4 linked regions of the Ovis aries genome follow. The protein of the gene in region 4 purifies or fractionates together with the protein of the main gene of each other region. This does not show direct contact. Links are inferred from orthologs where the notes say so. Each region holds a gene or a part of one and is shown on either strand. Other genes may lie near its edges.

Region 1 (5,604 bases), on a different chromosome or scaffold from region 4:
GGGGCCTGAAGTGTGAACGCACGGGGCTCTCGCCCACCACCCCCTCCAGCCTCCTCTCCTCGAGAAATGGCCTATTTCACTAGGAAGAATCAGGTAATGGTTTTGGCTTTCCGGTACATAAATTACACTCTCATTCAAACAGATATGGATTTGGGCTCCTTGTAACTTACTCGGCGCTCCTATAACACTAAAAATCTAGTCCTATGCACATCTGTGAGAGCCCTGGAAAGGCCCTAGGTGAAAAATCACCAATTCCCTCCACCCAGCTGTCAAAGAGTGATCAGGCTACAATTTCACTACTGGTCTTCTAGCAGTGAATCATCTCGGTTTTTTCTAGTTCACTCAGCCAGTCAATAACCACATCACTTAGCATCTATCCAGAGTGACAAACATATCATCAAATAATCACACAATTAAAAGTCAAGACAAAAGCACCAGGAAGAAGACATGAGTACAGAGAGGGGTTCTGAAAATTTAGAATGGGAAGGCTGAATAGGGTTCTGAATGTGATGCAAGGAATCAGGTTTGCAGGAAGAGCTGGGAGTTCGCTTGAAGGTGAGGGAAGATGAACTTTCGGTCCTGGTGAACAGTATGTGCAAAGGCCCTGAGGCAGAAGGGAACCTTGCATGCACAGCCCTCAAAAGGGGCCGGAGAGACAGCAGTGGCCAGCCCATGCAGGGTCTTGCGGTAAAGAGAAATTAAGGGTCAGTAGGGACAGAATGTGCTCAGACCTACATTTTTAACGAGCACTCTGCCTGGGTCACCTGAGCGACCTGGGCCAGGACACAGTTCCAAGAGCTCTACTCCGGATCCTGCAAAACAAGTCTGTTTCTTTTTTTTTTCTCTCCGGGGTGTGGTGCCCCTCCCTGGCTAGGAACTAGCTCCCTTCTTTTTCTGCTTGTTTGTGAAGTTTAAAGGCCAGACTTTTATCAGGTCTGAGGCCTATTTTCTTTCAATAACTCCAACACCCACCCACCCCCACCCCCAGGAAAGTACTCCTCTTTCCAGAGAGATGCCACTTTTGCCAAGTGGCCGATCAGTGACAGAAGGTAGGGGAATCTGTCCTTTGGGGTTTTCTTATATAAAAGGTACAGGCAAGCTCAGAAAGGAACACAGATGCTGGTCTCCTGCACCTCCTCACACTCAAGAACAGTTAAAACACAAACAAAAAACCTGAGATAATATTAAGATCCCTGTCCTCCCTCTTGGCCACACACACACCTCCCCACCAACCCTCTAGGCCCTGCTGGCCCAGCTCCAAGCTGTCAGAACTGCTTTCAGTCTCTTCACTACTAGAGGCTGCAGCTCACCCCACCCTGCACCGCTAAGAGTTCTTAGCACCCACTGACACTTCCTCCAGGAAGCTATTCCTACCCAACCCGTGCTTTTCAGTCCGTGAAGGGCCTGGTCTGAGTGCCAACAGCATTCTAAAAAGGCAAGTTTTCTGAGATTCACTGTAACTGGCTCACCCACCACTTGCACGAAAGGCCGCGCACACGTCCGGCCAGTAGCCCCAGAAGGACACATTCTGGGTGTCACTGTCCCAGCTAGCACGACGCCTGGCACCCTGATGGGAATCCCTCTAACACTGCATGAACTAACGAGCAACTGGATATGGAGCCTCAGCCTCCCAGGAGCAAGAAGAGACACCTTCGATGACAAGGCGCTCCGTTCCAATAGGTTTGGTTGTTAACGTGCACGTAAAACAGTCAAGTTATAAACTTTAGAAAAGGCGCTAATTTCACTCACGGACATTTGAAAGGATTAAAAATATGAATGCAGGGCAGATGCTCAAGGGTTTTAGACAGAACCAAAACTTCAGGCAAGTTAGGGGAGCAGCAGGGTGAGAAGGAACCCGATTAAAAGACCACACTAGAAACTCGGAGCGGACAAGCGCCGCCGGGCCGAGCCCCTCTGGTTCCGAACCCGCGGCCGCCGGGTACCTGGGCCCGTTCCCGGCCCGGCGCAGACCTGCCTTGCGCCCGCGGCTCCCCCGCCTCGTTCTCTCATCTACGGCGCCTGCCAGGCACCCCCCGGGCCCTTCTAAGAAGCACTCTCCTCCTCGGTCACTTTTGCTCCTTCAGAAACACCAGCCTCGGGGCACCGCTGTCGCCCAGTTTCAGTAGTCCGACACCGTCCCGGGTGGCACTGGGGTTTGCCCGCGGGATGGGGCCTGTGAGCCGCCCAGCATCGCACCCCCATAGAGCAGCCTCTCAGCCTCGTCCCAGCCCTTCGGACATCGCGTGAAAATGGAAGCGGCGCCCGGGAGATGCCCGTGAGCACTCAAGCGTGAGTGCATGCTACCCCAGCCGACAAGCCTGCACGGAACCGGGCAGGGTCCACACAGGGCGTGAGCGGCGCGGAGGGGAGCGCGCCCAGGAGCCGAGACTCCCCTGCAGACGCTGAAGCCCCCGGGCCGGGGGACGCGCGCGCGGGGCTACTGACCCCGAGCGCCCGGCCTGGCCCCCTCCGCGGGGGGCGCAGGGCCGGGACGCCCGTCCCCGCCCCGCCGTCACCCGGCCCAGGCCGAGCTGACAGCGGCCCCCAGGCGGCGCCGCGTCCGGACGGGCAGAAGAGCCGGGAGTGCTGTTTACAGCCGAGAGCCGGGGCAGCGTCCCGGCTGCAAAGCAAAGCACGGGGCGCCCGGCCGCCCGCACGCGCAGCGCCCCGGGACCCCGCGGCCGCTCCCCCCGCCCCGCGCGCCCCGAGTCCGGAGTCGCGCCCCCACTTCCACCCAGCTCCGCCCAGAGGGGACGAGGACCGAGGGGGGGCGCGCAGGCCCCCGAGAGGGGCTCCCTGGGACCCGCTCCGCTCCCGGAAGGCGCCTGCGGCGAGCTCCTACAGAGCAGCAGCGCCCCAGGGCAGCGCGGACGCGGAGCAACGCCTGGGGGGGGGAGGGGTCCTCTCGGGTCGGCGCCCCGCGACGGGGCTCGGCCCGGGGCGGCTCTTCGGCCCGGGGGCGGGCGGGGGCCGGGCGGCGCGCCTACCTTGCAGGCGGAGTACACCCCGAGTTTCTCCAGCTTCTTGGCCCGCGGGGCGGAGCGCAGCTGCGCCTTCTTCACGGCGATCCGGGCCGAGCAGCCGCCGCCCGGGCCCTCGGCCGCGCCCGCCGCCGCCCCCGCCGCGGCCGGCCCGCAGGAGCCCGCGCCCCCGGCCGTCGCGCCCGGGGGGCCCTGCGGGGGCGCGGGGGGCAGCGGGGGCGCCCCGGGCGCGGGCCCGCCCGCCTCCGACATGCCGGCCCGGAGCGCAGCAGGCGCCGCGAGTCGGGGCCGCGGCCGCCGCCAGGGTCTCCGCCTGGCTCTGGGCGCCGGAGCGCGGGACCCCCACCCGCCGCCCGCCGCCGCCCGCCGCCCGCCGCGCGCCGAGGCCGCAGCTGCTCGCGGAGGGAGGGGCCGGCGCTGCCCGCCGCGCGCCGGGCCTCCTCCCCGCGGGCCTCCCCGCCCGCCCGGGCGCTCCTCCCCCGGCCGCGCGCTCCGCCCCGCCCCCCGGGCGCTCCTCCCCGGCCCCGCCCCCCGGGCGCTCCTCCCCGGCCCCGCCCCGCCCCCCGGGCGCTCCTCCCCGGCCCCGCCCCGCCCCCCGGGCGCTCCTCCCCGGCCCCGCCCCGCCCCCCGCGGCCTGCCCGCCCCCGCGCCCCAGGCCCGCGCCCGCCAGCGGGAAGGCCCGCCGCGGGCTGGAGGGGTGGAGAGGGAGGGGGATGCGGGCACCTGCCGGCCGCCCCCCCTCCAAGCCGTCCCCGCGGGGGCGCAGGCGGGAGGGACGCGCCCCGTCCGTCTCTCTACTCCAGTCCACCCGCCCTCGGAGCCGGGCAACTTCCTCCACCCTAGCGGGAGCCCGAGGGAAAAAAACATTTTTGAAAAGTACCCGTCCACGCTAATCCTTTTCTTTGTTGCTAATTCACCAAAATAAAGGCGTGATGTTTTGCGTGTCTCTTTGCAGTTCCTTTGCCTTCCAAGGTCTCTCTTTTAATCCAGAACGCTTCCAGCCTATAAGCGATCTCTGGATCCCATCCGGCAGAGAAAGGGAAAGACGTTAATGGATATTTTCTGACGTTTTTGTTCGAAAGGGCTGGTTGTGGAAAGAACGGTCGTCCAAGAAACGCCGTGTGAAAACTAAACGCAGGGGGAGAAGTTGGCTGCTCGCGCTCATCTCTGCAGGTGGGGGTTAGAACCGTACTCCTTTCTATATCCTTCTTCCCTGTAATGTTTCACAGTTTTCAAAACTGATATCACCAGCATGCATATTAAACATGAAAACAATTAGGCAGCATCCAAAAGAATGTGTTGATTCTGGCCTCAAACTTAAAAAAAAAAAAAAAAGCTCAACTCAGCGTTTTCAACTTTGTTGAGACTGTCGCAGACTACCGTTCCCATGGTTGATGACAAGGAGAGTGGTGGTTAGTAATTCGCAGAATGTTTCAGTTTTCTTCATTTGAAGGTTGTGCACTTTTGGTCGGCCTTTCCGAAGCAGCTTTTGAAAGCCCAATGCTATATTTCAAGACCCTCCACAAGTGTCCTGCTTTTGTACCGGCCATAATTTTTACATAATACGGGCCATTAATGTGCGTGTTATCAAATTCTTTGCATACTTTATAGCCTTGCCCAACTCCAGCCAGAATGCTTGCAGGAATGTGCTTTTCCCTGAAATTATTCCCTCTCCCATCCCATTTTTTTCCAGTTAATTTTCTCTAGCCTTTTTCTAGGTTCTCTGTGTTCTTTCTACTTTTAATACAGAGTGATATATAAAAATGAACTCTATTTTTTCTAAGTTTGTAAATCCAGGGACATTAGACAGCACAAAAGGAAAGGGCCCCTCCCAACTCGAGCCCCATCGGAAGGTCTGAAATGGTAGACTTTAGTTCCATCAGGACAGTCTCAGCAGGATGTCTTAAAGGCTGCAATCCCATGAGCAAAGGCCAACATCATGATGTCAGCAGATATTGTAAGGAGCTTAGTGGCGGCATTTGTCAAACTGATGGTCCCCTTGAGATCTGTGCATTTCACTGGATAAAAATATCCTTCCTATATTTAAAAAATTATATTTTTTAAAGAAATCAAAAATCGTAAATATTAAAGTCTAGTTGGTGGTTCTCCTGCTGAAAGTTTAGGGACACAGTGTCCTGATATATACCGTGTGCTTTAAGAATCATTAAAAAGAAGGTGGATTGATCTGTCTGTGAGGGCACAAGCAGGATCAGATAGTTATATAAGATCAGACCAGTAGAGCGAATGTTGAATCTAGACAGTAGGCATATGAGTGTTCACTGCAATTTTTAAATCTGCTCTGTACATTTGAAATTTTCATCATAAAATAGTGGGGGGAACCCAGCATCAATATTAACTTGCCCATCACCTCTCCCTCCTGAGCTGTCCCCAGAATTCAGGAGGCAGGCTATTTCCAGGATGTTTTGGAGCAGAAGAAAATAACCTCATTTCGGCCTACGCTGAAAACCATCACTGTCCGAGTGGTGAATCGCTTGTGACATCCGCTGAACATTATTTTTCATTATTTCCATGCTCAGAGCGCCCAGATGACGTTCTGCCTCAGGCTGAAGGCCCACAGTGTCAAGGCCTGCTTCAAAATGTGTTGTAAGCACCAGGCCGGTAC
Region 2 (4,960 bases), on a different chromosome or scaffold from region 4:
GCAAAGATCCCTGAAAGGTCAAGGAGAGGAGAGGCCAGGGTGGTGGACGTTGAAGTCATCCAGGAAGAAAGCGGGACCCGGGTGGGGAGAGGAAACCTAGGAGGCAGTCTTCCAATACAGTGGGGAGCCCAAGAATGTCTAAGATGAGCTGGGGAAAGCGGGGTTCATCTGGAGGGCCCGAACCTCAAGGACATGGAGGATGTTGCCAGGTGGCAGAACCAAGACAGTCCAGGAGGCAGAGGGCCTGGACCCCACCTCCCACCTCTGCTGCTCACACAGGCTATGGCAGAAAGAGGGTCACAGCAGCCCCACAGGTGAACCAAGAGTCCGTGCAGAGGAGACAAAGACCACTAGCCGGGAGGAGAGGCCCAGCAGGGAATCCGATGGTCATGGAAGAAGGGTTTGCGAGGGTAATTGTTCAATAAGTGTTTATTGAGCAGCTGCACCTGCCAGGGCCTGGGAGCCACACAGTCCCTGCCCTCATGGGCTTACATCCTGGCAGAGGCCCAGTGGGAAAGCTTGGGGCGGGAGAATGGGGCTGTGGGAGTTGCAAAGGGTGCGAGAAGCTTCCTTGTCTTGGGCAAAGAGACTTGAGGATGTGAGGAACGAGAATATCCTGACTGGGGAGGCCTTAACCCTCTTTGTTCAGAGGTCCATGGAGCCATGCATTCCCTGCTTCATTCTGTGACAAGACGTTTGGGATGCCAACCTGCCAAGCTCCAGGGCTGCAGAGGAGGGAGGCGCTTGGGACACTCAGAGGCTTGTCTGCGGGGTGTCTGTGCTGATGGGTGGCCTCTCCAGAGGGTGGAGTGGTAGGAATGCACTTGGAGAGGCCTCCGGGGGGACCTGGACTGGGGGATTTTCCATGGGGGCCCTGCCAGAATCCCCAGGGGAGACCCCTGCTCCAGGAATTTGGGATGCTCTGCCTCCCCGCATTATTCTCCTATAAAAGGTGTTACGCTGGGAGATCCCAGGGGGGTGAGGAAGGGGAAAGATGTTGAGCCACTGGGACACAGCAGGGAAGGGGTCAAGGGGTCGTGCAGCCAGTTGCACCAGGTGGGGTTGGCCGCTGGCCCTTTGGGGGCAGGTGGGATCCTCCTGGGGATTGGCAGGTTGGCTGGGAGGCCCAGTGGTGGCCGGGGTGGTGGCTTGACCCATGGACGGAGGCCAAGGCCACCTGTGGGCACCATACGTTTTGAGGGGCAGGTGAAAGGTGCTGCGAGGGCGCAGGGCTCTTTGCGCCCCACGTGACAGGAAGCTGATCCCACGGTGGACGGCAGCTTGCTCCTGGTGACCGGCAGGCTGGCTGGGACTCTCAGCGTCGGGGATGGCAGCTTGCTCGGCAGGATGGTGGGGAGGCCAAGCCGAGGGGCGGCATGTGCCATGGGACAGACGAGAGGCCCGGAGGGAGTGGGACGCTCGGCGAGCTCTCGGCGGGGGTTGGATGGATGAGGAAGGAGGCAGGACGGCGGTCTCAGTGGGCTCCGCACGCTTTCCAACACAGAACCTCAGACTGAAGGCTGGCAGGGGCCTCAGGGGCCACCCAGTCCAGCCTTCCACTCTAATTCCGATCCCTTTCACCCCTGGGCAGGTGACAGCCTGGCCTTTATGAACCGCTATGAACAAACCTCCAGGGACAGGAGGGTCACAACCCGTGCGGCCACTTGTCCCACTGTGGGATGGCTTTAAAGGAAGTTCTGCTTACATGGAGTCACAGTGTACTAGTCTGGGGCCTGCGTGGTGCTGCCCTGCACCCTCATACCCCCATGTGGCCCTGCATCACTGCCGTTAACCGGGGAACGGGTGCAGGTCCGCCCCCCTCACTGAGACTTAGGAGGGCAGACAATGCATAAGGAAGCCGCAGACACAGGCATTGGCTAGTCCAGAAAAGATATAGGGCTCTGAAGGGAAGCCCTGTCCAGGCCTTCAGAAAGAGTACGTGTGATTACTGATGGCTCCTACCCTGGTACGATGGGAGGGCTGGGGCGATCCAGGCCACAGCTGGCAATTGGAGACTATCCTCCGGACAGCTCAGGACTCACTGCCTCACTGATAAATCCCCTGGGCGCGAGGTGAGTCTGAGAGTCACCTGCTGGGGCTGTGCCCCTGGGGACCTGGAATGGGGGGAGGCAGTGTCCTGGGTCAGACTTCTGAGCAACTCACCGGGTTTTCAGCATCTGAGTCTTCCGAGCTGCTGATCACCACGACGCGCTCCTCTGAAACGGAGCAGGGGAGACAGGGTTAGGCCCTGCCAGGGCTGCTCGTGGATGGAGCCCAGGGTGTTCTCCTGTGGGAATCCTTGCAGGCCAGTGGGCTGGGTGGGTAACATGTGCCCTGCAAGGGGGCTGTCAACATTCAGCGTGTGTGCCAGCGTGGATCTGCCTGTTTAGTCGCTCAGTTATGTCCGACTCTTTGCAACCCTGTGGACTGTAGCCCGCCAGGCCTCTCTGCCAGTGGAATTCTCCGGGCAAGAATACTGGAGTGGGTTGCTGTGCCTCCCTTCAGGGGACCCCCAATGCAGGGATCGAACCTGCCTCTCTGATGTCTACCTGTGTTGGCAGGCGTGTTCTTTACCACTGGGCCACCTGGGAAGCCAGGATCTGCCTGTACGGAGGGGTTACTCAAGGTGGCTTTCCATCACTGCCTGCTATGCCTTGTCTGTGACGACTTAATTCAGCTACTGGCCCTGGAATGATTCAGAACTGACTACCTGTGGAGGGGGTGTGACAAGCACCACCTGGTTTGGAACCTTTGACCATCCTAAAGCAGCACACTGGTTGTTCCAATTCTCAGCTCTGTGAGCTGAGATGTTTGAGTTAAAAGATACTTTAGGTTTACAAAACCTGATTACCAATAGCATTTGTGAGCGAGGATTCTCCATTGGGGCTGAGTGTATGGCCAGGGTCAGGGTTCAGTGTGACCGGGGACAGGGGTCAGTGTGGGACCTAGAATGAAAACAATGCTGGACACTGGGTAAAAGAGCTCCAGGAAGAACAGTCTTGAACATTCCAGGATTCTGGGGGTTGACCTCCACTCACATGAAAGGACTCCCTGTCTGGCAGTGGCCATAAAAGATACCTTGAGCAAGCGAGATACCTTAGGTGGATGGCCTTCGTAAAAAAAATTTGGGAACCGACGGGTGTGGACTTTACCCAAGTCTTCTCTGAGCATGTGCTAGACACCCACCAACAAACATTGTTTGGGGAGACCCATCCTGTGCAGAGGCATGGTACTGGGTTCAAAAAGGGTGTGTCAGGGGAAGGAGCTAAGGAAATGTGTTCCCCAGGCTATCATGCTCCCTATATGGGCATCCCAGAAAAGCATGGGCTAAACCATCCGCGCTAGCCCCCCCCAGACAAACCCTGGGCTTGCCCTTCCCCATTTGGTGGCAGCTGAGGGCAAGACACACAGGGAATGCTGCTTGCCTTGGGCTTCCTGGGAAGGGCGTGAGGATGCAGAGGAGGGGTCCCACCCAGCCCCTGGAAGACAGCATGCAGGCCTCAGCCCATCCTGCCCATCCCCACTCCCTACCTGTCTCTGCAGGGTCGCCGGTTTGATGGTTGCTTTCAGGCAAGGGGAGCTCATCTCTTATGATGGGGCTCTTGGGGCTGGAGGGCCCATCCAGGTGGGGTGGCGAGACTGCCCTGGAGGTGCTGGGCCTGGGCTGCTCAGGGGAGCTCTGAGCCAACCTAGACTCTTCCCCCTCCTCAGACTCCATCTTGATGACCTTCCGGGGGCACTCGGTCTGGCAGGCCTTCCTCTTCTGCGTGTGGGTGCCCTCCTGTGCAGTGGGGTGTCACAGGGCAGGGTCAGGAGCCTCCAAGGGGACTGGGGCCGTGGGCAGAGACCCAGACCTGAGTGGCAGGAATCTGTTCCCCGCCCCATGCCCTTTGCTCCTCCTGTCCCCTTTGCTATCTGCCGTGCGGATCACACCTCTCTACACAGAGGTCCTCCCAAGTCAGCAGGCACACTGGCCCTGCTGGTGACCACTGACCACCAATCTCTGCTGGCTTCTGACTGCCCTGGGAGGGGCTCCTGCTTGGAGGGAAGCTTCCTAACACGGCAACCAAGAGCTGGGAGAGTGCAGAGTCAGTGCCTATTGAGGTCTGGGTTCTCACTTCCATTCCACCTCTTACCACCTAGTGGGATCCGGGCCCTGGGAAGGGGAGGGGAGGGCTGGGGAATATCTTACTTCTCTGCGGGAGGGGTCTTGGATGGAGAAGGCGTACACTGGCACAGGGTGTGCCCCTGGCACCGGCTGTACCACGGCCAATCCCGCGGCTTGCATCTGGTCCCTCGGCACCTCCTCTGGCTGCAAAGTTGGGACACAAAAGTAGTCAGAAATGACCAGGTAGGGGACTACCCTGGTGGGCCAGTGTGTAAGTCCCTGTACTCCCAATGCAGGGGGCTCAGGTTTGACCCCTGGTCAGTGAACTAGATCTCACATGCCGAAACTAAAGAGCGCGTGTGCCTCAACTAAGACCCAGTGCAGCCAAATAAATAAATATAAAAAACAAAAATGACCAGGCAGTAGGACCACCCAGGTCCCCTGGTGTGGGGTCAGCTCAGTCTCCAAGGCCTCACCCAGACATAAGAGCTGGCTCCTGGTCCAATACCCAGAGCCTACTGGGGACCAGAAGTCTTCCTTGCAGCCTCCATGACTTCACCTATGGCAACCCTGAGGCGCGGCACCCCAGGGACTACGTCAATGCCTGTGCATCCTAACGGTGCCAGAAGATGGCCTCAGGGATCATACTGCCAACAACTCAAGGCTCGCTTGACAAGTAGACCCAGCCTAGACAACTCCAGGGCTTCCCTGGTGGCTCGGACAGTAAAGAATCCACCTGTAATGTGGGAGACCTGGGTTCAATCCTTCGGTTGGGATGATCCCTTGGAGGAGGGCTTAGCAACCCACTCCAGTATTCTTGCCTGGAAAATCCTCATGGACAGAGGAGCCTGG
Region 3 (4,960 bases), on a different chromosome or scaffold from region 4:
AACCATAGAGTTCTGCATTACTTTTGTATATTCTTTCTGAATAAAGAAATCAAAATGTATAAACTCAGAAAAACTTGAATGCTATGAGACTTCTAACAGCCATTTTCTACTCTTTCATCTCGAATTTTTAAAAAAACGTCTTGTTTGGGAAAGACTATGTCCTTATGTTCGGTTTATAAGTCAGGAAGCATTTTCGATCTAAAAATCCAGAATAAGCAATTAAACAGAACTCAGGCGTAGGTTGTTTTAATTGCTTAAAACATTTTAAAAATATAAGGTAACTTGACATTTTAAAGCAATTACAATTATTTTCTAAAGAAGTCCTAGGGTCCTGCACATTCTGCCTAAAGTGGCAATCGTTAAAAAGTTTTTATATCAAAAATACAATATCAACATTCCCACATAAATTTTTTTTTAAGTCCTCTAAAACAAAAAGTTAATTACACTGAGAGAAGTCATTTAGAAATACCTGGGCCTTTAAAGGAAGAAGGAAAGAAAAAAAACTTCGCTAGCTTCAGATACATTCATTAAAAAACGACAGGGTGGGGAGGATGCAATGAGAGCACACAGGTAATTTTCAAAGGCATTGTGTAGAAACTAAAAATGAGGAGAAAACAACCTCAATGCTCTATGATTACCCAAGAACGGGTTTAGCCAGATGAACAAGTCTGCCACAAACCCTCCTCGAGGCGTCTGAAAGGCTATCAAACAAAACTTTATTAAACTGGATTACGGGGTCTCACTCATCAGATGTCAATGGACACACATTTATGATCGCGTGGAAAAGTCGATACATGGGATTCAAACTAGGCCTACATCTTCTTTTTAGTTGGTTTTTATCTTTTTCAGTATAAGCATCGTTAAGACAACCCACTATTAAATTTCCCTGCCAGCAGGTCAAGTTCCAGAATCCCAGGTATAAGCATTCTGAGCACTAAACCCTGCCAGGGGTTGCAAGGCCATTTAGATATGCCCTGACTACATCCCAGCAATAAGCAGTTGATTGCATCGATATATGGAATCATGCTCCTCCTTTATTAGGAGACTTTAACCTCAGGAGAAACATTGTTTCCTCCTTCCTATCTCCCATTTCAAGGACTTTCAAAGGAGAAAGGACAAGAGCTCAAAAGTTCTGAAGTTATTTCCTCTTCTCCTTAATCATAATTCAAGTAAAAACCCATTTTCAATGTTTCTTGCTAAATATATAATATATATTCTATAAAAGGATAGTTTAGTATTTCCATAGACTGTTTTCATGGTCTTGTCATTTGTATGCTGAAAACTGCAGACTGAGTTTACATGCTAATGGGTGTTTGTTTAAGTATAAATATAACTTCTACTTTGGGATTAGGAGATAGCCTTTTGTCTCTACCTAAAAACTTCAGGTTGAAACAACCCACTGGTTTCACTGATAAATACAGGAGATGTCTTTTCTTTAAAAGCAATTTCTCAGAAAGCCCTGGAATCTACCACATTGTCGCCAACACTACTCAGATTTTAAGTAGTATTTATCACTGGGATATCAAGCAATACTTTCCAATGCGCATAAGAAATGTCTGCAGCCATGTTCCTCTTTGAGCTCTATCTCAGCACTGACCTTTGTTCAAAGGCTTTTACTTTTTAATGCAGCAGTTAGAGATAACTACTTCATTTATCAAAACTCAATTTCCATAGTAACATCTAGCCTGGGGAGATTCAAGTCCTCACACTAATCCAGCAGCCCATTCAAAGGAACTGTTGAACACTTTGGTTTCCATAGCAATGATGGAATAAAACATTTTGCTAGGTCATTGCTTTTATTAGCAAACTTATTCTCTGAACTTTAGGTTAAAGCTGCATTTACGGAGAGGAAAAAAAAACACAATCACTTTGTATAGGTTCTTTCCTTCAGGCCTATCCTTTTAAGAAAATCACTAATGGTAACCACCCATAGTTTTAAAAATACTTCGGGTATTTGGAGATTTTTACAGCTTGCCACCATCTAATTTCATCCTCAAATAAGTTCTGATATAAAGCTTTGAAAATTTTAAAATGAGTGTATAGATCTGACAAAAGTTTTTATAAAATTATAGGGGCTAAACATTTTAAACACAGATGAGATATTAGCTGGAATAAAGTCTCTCCAATGTATAATATGGACTGGGGTAGAATGTAAAATAACTTTTAAACCACGACTCTAGTTTTGCCTGATTTTAGTATTTTTCAATTTCCAGCCCACCTTTCACCAGCAGGGAAAACATGCTAAACACAGATATTTTAGGCTCAAGGTGAAATTAAGATAATTTATTAAGCAATTATGCTTTACCTGCTAAATGGAAAAGGCTTTAGTGTTTGATGTAGTTTTATAGAAGCCAACTGATTTGTTCTGGAGGGAGAAAATGAGTTACATTTTTTTCCTTCAAGATAGGAATAGCAATGCCATTAAAGTTTTAAAATCCATTAGTAAACATTGTTGTTTATGTTTGGGAGCAATTAATTCTATGTGAGGTGACAGGGCAAGGCCTTAATGAGGGAACATCAGCCTTCCTGGAACCAAACTTTTTTCACTGAACTGAATTTTGAGCCAAGCCAGTGCTGAAAAAGGTAAGCCATTAAAAAATAAAAGTTGACAGAAGAAAGAAGAGATCAAACATGTGCTGGCTTTTAAAAGGATGAATACCACTTATACTATTTACACAACTCACAGAATTAACAAGAAAATTACATACCAGTATGAGTCCTCAGGTGAGCTTTTAAATGAGAAGACTTTGTATAAACTTTTGTGCAGCCTGAAATAAAGGAGAAGAACAGCGTGTCATTCTGGAGATCCTTTTGAAATCTTTACATCTGATGATTCAGTGTTTAAAATCGGGCTTTAAAGATGAAATCTCTCATGCAAGGAGATATTTGAAGCTTCAGTTTTAAGAGATGTTTTAAAGCATACTCCCCTATTACCTGATTAAAGGTATAAAGTGATTTGCTTTATGTTTCACTTTAGCAGAAAGAGAGCAGACAATCAAGCCAAACTACAAATGGGAAATCTGTGTTTATACCAGTAGGTGCTTTATACTAGTAACACATACCTCAGTGAGTTAAAAAATTTTAATGGCTCCAGAGCTGACAATGTTAAACCATTATCCAAGATGACTGCAATTTTCTGTACTCCCACATTTCTTGTTTTTTCATTTAGTATGTCATGTCATATCACGTACCACAGTCAATAAATTATACCCTGTATTAATCATAAACTAGCTTATGCCAGCAACTTCTAGATATATTCATCACCATCATCAATTTATATTTTGGACCACATATCTCATTCAAGAAAGAGCATATGGTCACATGCTATCAGAACCAACCCTGAAATCTATTCTATAGATGGTCTTGTCTTGCACCAACCCACTCTTCATTGCCACCCATTCTTTTCCCCTATGTTACTTAAGTAATTCCTTTCCAGGTTACTTAATTTAGAATTAAGAACTCCAATTTAGATTGCTACAGTAAACATGGTAAGTGTAGCAAGACTCTCATGTATTTAACATTAAAAAGAAAAGAGTCCAGTAACTTTTTTTTTCCCATAATATTCCAAACTTTTTTTTTTACTATTATCAAATAAGCACAAAGTAACTAAACAGTTACTTGGGTAAGGCACTGGAGACTGGGATGCCGCAAGAGCAGAGCAGGTGAATTTTCTTTTAACTGTCAACCACTAGTCTCCCATGTAAAGTTGGAATGTGAGGTGGAAAATGGCACGCACGAACACACTAAACACACACACTGATTCTTTAACCAGGTAGGATCACATACCTGGGTAATCGCAGTAGTGGATGCGCCGTTTCTCCAAATCAGGGTTACTCCTTCTATTGTATCTGACAGGCTGGATGTTTTGCGAAGTAACTGGCAGGGTGGCAGGTAAATTTGGATTATGAATTGCCAGTTTAGAAGCAATGGTAGCAGCATAGGATGGAGGTGGGGTTAAATTCTGAAGCATCTCTGCTTGTCTATCTGGACTTCCAGGCTCTGAGCTTGGTGGTGACGGGGGGAAGTAAGTGGCCTGCTGGGGAAGAAACTGACTTGGCATGGTGTATGTGCAAGGGGGCATGCTCTGGAATTGCTTCATGGCGGTCGGCGGGACGGCGGAGGTGTGAGTGTTAAGGCCTGCCATGGCGGCCGACATTGATACGTTAAGAGTGTCCATTACTGCTGTCTGGTTGGTAGAACTAGGCATATCTAGATCCGGTGTATTCAGGAGCTGGTACAGATGGCCCTGCTGGGGAGGGACAGAAAGATGAAGGTCTGGTGTAGGAAGTTCTTGTTTGATGAAAATATTGTTCACCTCTGGAGCTGCGGTCTGGTGGGAGCTGAATATGCTGGTGAACTCGGGGAGGGCCTGTGTTGGGGCCGGAGGAGGGGCTGTCGTCTCACTCTGGTGGCTGAAAATGGTAACAGGTTCTGTCTTGATGTGTGTTACACACGGTCTCTGGGATTTGTAGAGGCCAGTTCTCAGGTGAGTGATGTCAGGGAGGAAGACGTTCATGTTGATACTGTAAGGTAACCCTTCACTGTCAGTGAAGAACTGGTCTACGACTGAGGCACTGTCTCGTCTATACTTTTTATGTTCTGGAATTATAGAAACTGGAGGAAGCTGAGGTGTCAGGTACTTCTCCATTTCACATCTTGTCTAAAAAAGAAGAGATAGAAACATGTATAATCTGCCCAATTCATCATCTCGGGAAGAACAAACTGTGCTTACTAAAATTCCCAACAATCTCTATGAAAAATACCCAAGGCAAACTCCTAAGTGTTGCTTATAAACATATCAGGTTTGTCAACTGTGAAACAAATGGTTCACCAAAAACCTTATGAAACTGTGTATAACAAGTGTTTGGTAAAATCGCCCCCGGTCAACCCCAGACAAAGTGAAAGAGACAAATCAAGAAGAAAAAGGAAGCAAAGAGAAAAAAATATTCCTTTCTGATGC
Region 4 (4,289 bases):
ACGGGGAGTGGGTGGCCGGGCTGCTTCTGTTTGAGCTGGGGCTGAGGCTGGGGCTACAGCTGCCGGGCGGGGCAGCCAGGCCGCCCCCATCCCGCCCCCCACTCCCCGCTTGTCCGCTCAGAGTGTCCAGGCCTTCTGAGTTCTCCAGCATTTCCTGGATGAGAGGTGGCATGGAGCCCGGAATCTCCATCTTCAGCGTGATCACCCGCTCAGCCCCTGCAGGAGAGAACAGGTCAGTGGGCCCACCCTGCTCCTCTAGCCCTGCACGCAAGCCTGGCCCCAGGAGGGAGCATGCAAGGGGTAGGAGGATCCACAGTACCAGTATCAGCTCCCGCCACACACCGAACCCTGCACTCAGTTTTCTGACCTAAGCCAGCTCTCCTCAGCCCCGACAGCTGAAGGGCAGCAGGGCAAAGTAGCTCCCAACTCTGGCTCTGGGGTCACTGGGCTTGATGCCAGGCCCTTCCTACGTGCTGCTGACTCTCCTACTGACATCTCAAGACAACTCCGTAAATGTTATCCCTGCTCTGCAGATGAGTAACTGAGGCTCAGAGCCGTCGTGTGACCCGCTCAAGGACACACAATGGTCTGGTTCCAGAGCCATGCCCTAAACTAGCATGCCAAGATGACACTGCCACCTTGGGGCTCACAGGCAGGGAGGTCACCTGGGCACGGTGGGGTCCAGGTGAGTGGGGCATCACATGGGCACAAAGATGTGGGGTACTGGCTCAGATGCAGGAGGCCTGACTCTGGACATGGATGGCAGACACACAGGGAGAGAGCCTCACCCTTAGCACTGATGCTCCGGAGGTCTGTGATCTTCATCAGCATCTTGGGGAACATGTGTGGGCGGCTGGGCCTCCGTTTCCGCACATAGACCTTCAGTGCCTCAAGCAGCGGCTCCTGCAGCATGTCCACCCTGTCTGGCTGCTCCAGGTCCTGCCGGTCTGAAGAAGCAGAGAAGCCCGCTCAGTCCGGTGAGGAGCACAGCTGCGGGCCCCATCGTGACCACCAGGGGGCGCCCCTGTCCAGGCCACAGGCAGAGTATCGTTGCTCCCCACGCCTCCCCACACACAGAGGCCCTAAGAGGCTCTCAAATGTGAGCAAAGAGGGGCAAATGTGAGCAAAGAGGGGCTGGGGACAAGGGTGTCCCAAAGCTCACCCTGAGAGCCCACACCCCTAAACACAGGCAGTGCCATCTTAAGTAGAGGTAGGTCTCCCACTCCTGCTGGTTATTCTGGACACCAGCCCAACATGGCAGCACTCATGTCAATAAAATAGTAACAGCAGCCAACATCTCCTGGGTCTTACTCTGGGCACACTGTGCCTTATTTATTACCTCCTAATCCTCCCATCAACTTTATGAAGTGGAGACCATTACTGCCCCCATTTTACAGAAATGGAGGCTCAGAGAAGTTCAGCGACCCTGCTGAAGGTCACATGTTGGCCAGGATTTGAACCTGGGTGGTCTGACCTCCAAGTCCTCACTCGTAAGCCCCCTGTAAGGAGCGCTGCCTGGAAATAGGGAACCAGAGCTCAGGTCTCCATCACTGTTCCCTTGCCCTGTGGCCACAGACCAGATCCTACTCCACTGGGACTCAGTTTCCTGTCTGACAGGTGCCTTTCTGATCAAATGATCCCCCAGCTTCTCCCTGGGAGAGGCTCCGCAAGCCACACCACCACCCCTGAGCCTGGCCCCCAGACCCAGGGCCCCTGCCCACCTCCACAGATGAGGCAGATGGCGCTGAGCAACCCAGTCTCAGCGTCATCCATCTCCAGGGGAAGCAGCTGGTTGGCGAAGGCGAAGACCAGGTCCGTGAGTGGGCCGAAGCCGGCGTTGTGCATCTGGGTCCGGTTCAGGGTCAGCCCGTCCGAGAAGGTCATCGTGTCCTGCTCGGGCGTGTACCGCGTGCAGATCCGCAGGATCTGGGTGCAGAGGGTTCTCGAGTTCAGGAACTCACATCCGCCAGCACTTCCGGCACCAGCATCCCCCCCAGGACCACCTGGCCGGCAGCCAGACCACTACGGTTCTACAGAACCTTCTGTGCAACACAGTAGCCACCAGTCACACTGGTGACCGCTGGGCACTTGAGACATGCTGAGTGCAACTGAGGAACTGAATTTAATTTTAATTAATTTCAATTTAAAACAGCCATACATGGCCAGCGGCTACTGTATTAGACAGTGCAAATCTACAGCATCCTGCCTCCACACAGAGAATTAAGAGGGAGACAAAACATTTCCAGGAAGGCCCAAACCAAAGGGGGTTTCGGTCTATGGTTCCCAGGGCTGGGTACAGAACAAGAGCTCAGTAAATGTACCTCATCTTCAGCTCTCTCAAACCCTGACCCTGCCTCTTGCATCTCCCTTCCACCAGGAGCAGCAGCCTGGTCACAGCCCAGGTTCCCGACCTTGGAGGTCGCCAAGAGGGAACAGGAGGGCTGAGGAAGACAGGGAGGACAAGCCTCCCTCCAGCCTTGGATTTGACAGTCTCATCCGCCCCCATCCTGCCTCAAGTCCAGCCTACCCTCTGGCCCCACCAAATGCCCTGCAGGCCCCTGAATCCCACTGGTCCCACACCAGCAGGCCTTCCACATACCGCTCTACACACCTCTAGAGGCTACCTCCTCTGGGGCTCTTCCCTAGGGCCCAGCAGTGCGGCTCTCTGTCCTGCAGGGAGGGGACAGCCCTCCCCTATCTGCAGCCAGCACTTATCACAGTTTTGCAACCTCTGTTTACCTATCTGTTGCCTCCACCAATGGAAGATTCTCAAGAGGGGACAGTGGTGTGTTCACCTCTGTTCTGAAACCCAGTTCAAGGCCTGGCCATACAGGGTCCCAGGTGAACCTTTATTAGACTGAATAGATGGGAAGATGGGTGGCTGGACGGAAGCACTGAATCAAAGATGGGCTGAGGATGGACGAATGAGAGTACAGGTGAATGGTGCACACCGGGTGCTGGGTGGCTAAGCAGACAGGTAGACATGCGGGAGAGAGCAAAGGTGGCTGTTTGGGTGGGTGGGCCTTTGGACAGGTTGACTCCAGACAGATTTTTAGGAAGGTGCTTATTTGAGCGGCAGGACATCCTCCAAGAACACAGGGGGCAGTGCCTAGGTGGGCAAGGTGCAGACCCTCACCAGGATGTCCAGGCAGGCAGCCTTGAGGAGGGTGATCTGGTCCGCAATGGTGAGGGTGGTGAAGCCGGGCAGTTGCTTGGCGAACTCCACAGTCTTAATGATGCACTTGGTGGAGAGTTCACTGAACTTGTCCCAGAGGTCAATGTCCAGGGAGACACGCTGTTCTGAGCTGTTGTTCTGGGCGGATGGGGGGGGCAGGGGGAGGAAAGTGAGGGCCTTCCCCTGGTGGCACCCTTCTGGGCCTGGCTCTACCTGCCCCGCCCCACAGGCCTGCCCTCTACTGGCCTTCACTTCCTGAGAGGCGGGGAAGGGGCAGACAAGGCAGCCCAAGCAGGGCTGCGGAGGGGCAGGCCTGGAAGAAGCAGGTGTGCCCCTGGGGGGCTGTACCGAAGTGTATTTGCCCAGCCTGGGGGAGGGGCAGGCCTGACAGCTGGAGGGCATGAGGTTGGCGGGGGGTGGGCCATACCGTAGTGTATTTGCCCAGTTGGCAGAGCGCAGGGAAGGTCTCCTGATGCGCTTTGCGCACCTTCTCGATGAGCTCCCCCACCTCCGGTGTCAACGTGTAGCTCTCAGAGCACTCAGGCTTGGGCACCTCCTTCTTCTTCTTGTTCCGGTCATTTCTCACGGCTGTGGAGGGCCCAGGCCGCACAGTGAGAGGGCAGGTGGGGTCAGTGGTCCATCCCCCCAGCCGTCCAACCCCAGCCCAAGCTCCGCCCACCAGACTAAGAACTGTCACTGCACAGAAGTGCACACACGTGAGCGCGCAGGCAGGCGGGACATCCGCACAGCCGGTCCCTTGGCCCCCCCCCCCCCCGCTGCGGTGCCCACCCGGCCCTCACGCTGAGGCCTGCCCCAGGGCCTGTGACCACAGCATGCGTGCCCCAGACCAGCTCGCTCTCCGGGCGTCTGCTCCAGCTCACTCTCCAGGGTGAAAGCCCGTGTGCAGGTGTCCCAGGTCTGTGCTCCCAGCCTCCCTGCCCCCGGCCCTCCTGGCAGTGCTCGGGATGGGCTCAGAGCAGCTCCCTGGGCGGGCAGACACGGAGTAGGGCTCCCCAGCCTGAGAGTAGGGGGCCGGGTGGGAGACTCTCTCGGCCCATTAGCCGGGGGAGCTGACAAATCGCCGGGGGCGCTGAGCCGCACACACCACTCGGCT

The links.
Region 1: the proteins of RARA (region 4) and KAT2B purify together in Homo sapiens (affinity purification with western blotting; 3 studies listed by BioGRID). This does not show direct contact. The link is inferred for Ovis aries from reciprocal best matches to the Homo sapiens genes RARA and KAT2B.
Region 2: the proteins of RARA (region 4) and PML purify together in Homo sapiens (affinity purification with western blotting; 6 studies listed by BioGRID, with this or other methods). This does not show direct contact. The link is inferred for Ovis aries from reciprocal best matches to the Homo sapiens genes RARA and PML.
Region 3: the proteins of RARA (region 4) and KLF5 purify together in Homo sapiens (affinity purification with western blotting; 4 studies listed by BioGRID). This does not show direct contact. The link is inferred for Ovis aries from reciprocal best matches to the Homo sapiens genes RARA and KLF5.

The regions. Positions count from the first base shown.
Region 1 is NC_056054.1:278,284,587-278,290,190, reverse strand, and holds the start of KAT2B (histone acetyltransferase KAT2B), read right to left. Parts: upstream 3,380-5,604; 5' UTR 3,234-3,379; coding exon 2,988-3,233; intron 1-2,987. UniProt on the Homo sapiens protein: Functions as a histone acetyltransferase (HAT) to promote transcriptional activation. Has significant histone acetyltransferase activity with core histones (H3 and H4), and also with nucleosome core particles.
Region 2 is NC_056071.1:32,241,087-32,246,046, forward strand, and holds part of PML (protein PML), read right to left. Parts: intron 4,313-4,960; coding exon 4,193-4,312; intron 3,782-4,192; coding exon 3,532-3,781; intron 2,217-3,531; coding exon 2,164-2,216; intron 1,492-2,163; coding exon of another isoform or gene 754-1,491; exon of another isoform or gene 412-753; intron 1-411.
Region 3 is NC_056063.1:48,408,668-48,413,627, reverse strand, and holds part of KLF5 (Krueppel-like factor 5), read right to left. Parts: intron 4,661-4,960; coding exon 3,787-4,660; intron 2,769-3,786; coding exon 2,709-2,768; intron 1-2,708. UniProt on the Homo sapiens protein: Transcription factor that binds to GC box promoter elements. Activates the transcription of these genes.
Region 4 is NC_056064.1:40,340,686-40,344,974, reverse strand, and holds part of RARA (retinoic acid receptor alpha), read right to left. Parts: intron 3,764-4,289; coding exon 3,603-3,763; intron 3,314-3,602; coding exon 3,137-3,313; intron 1,927-3,136; coding exon 1,722-1,926; intron 948-1,721; coding exon 789-947; intron 217-788; coding exon 1-216. UniProt on the Homo sapiens protein: Receptor for retinoic acid. Retinoic acid receptors bind as heterodimers to their target response elements in response to their ligands, all-trans or 9-cis retinoic acid, and regulate gene expression in various biological processes.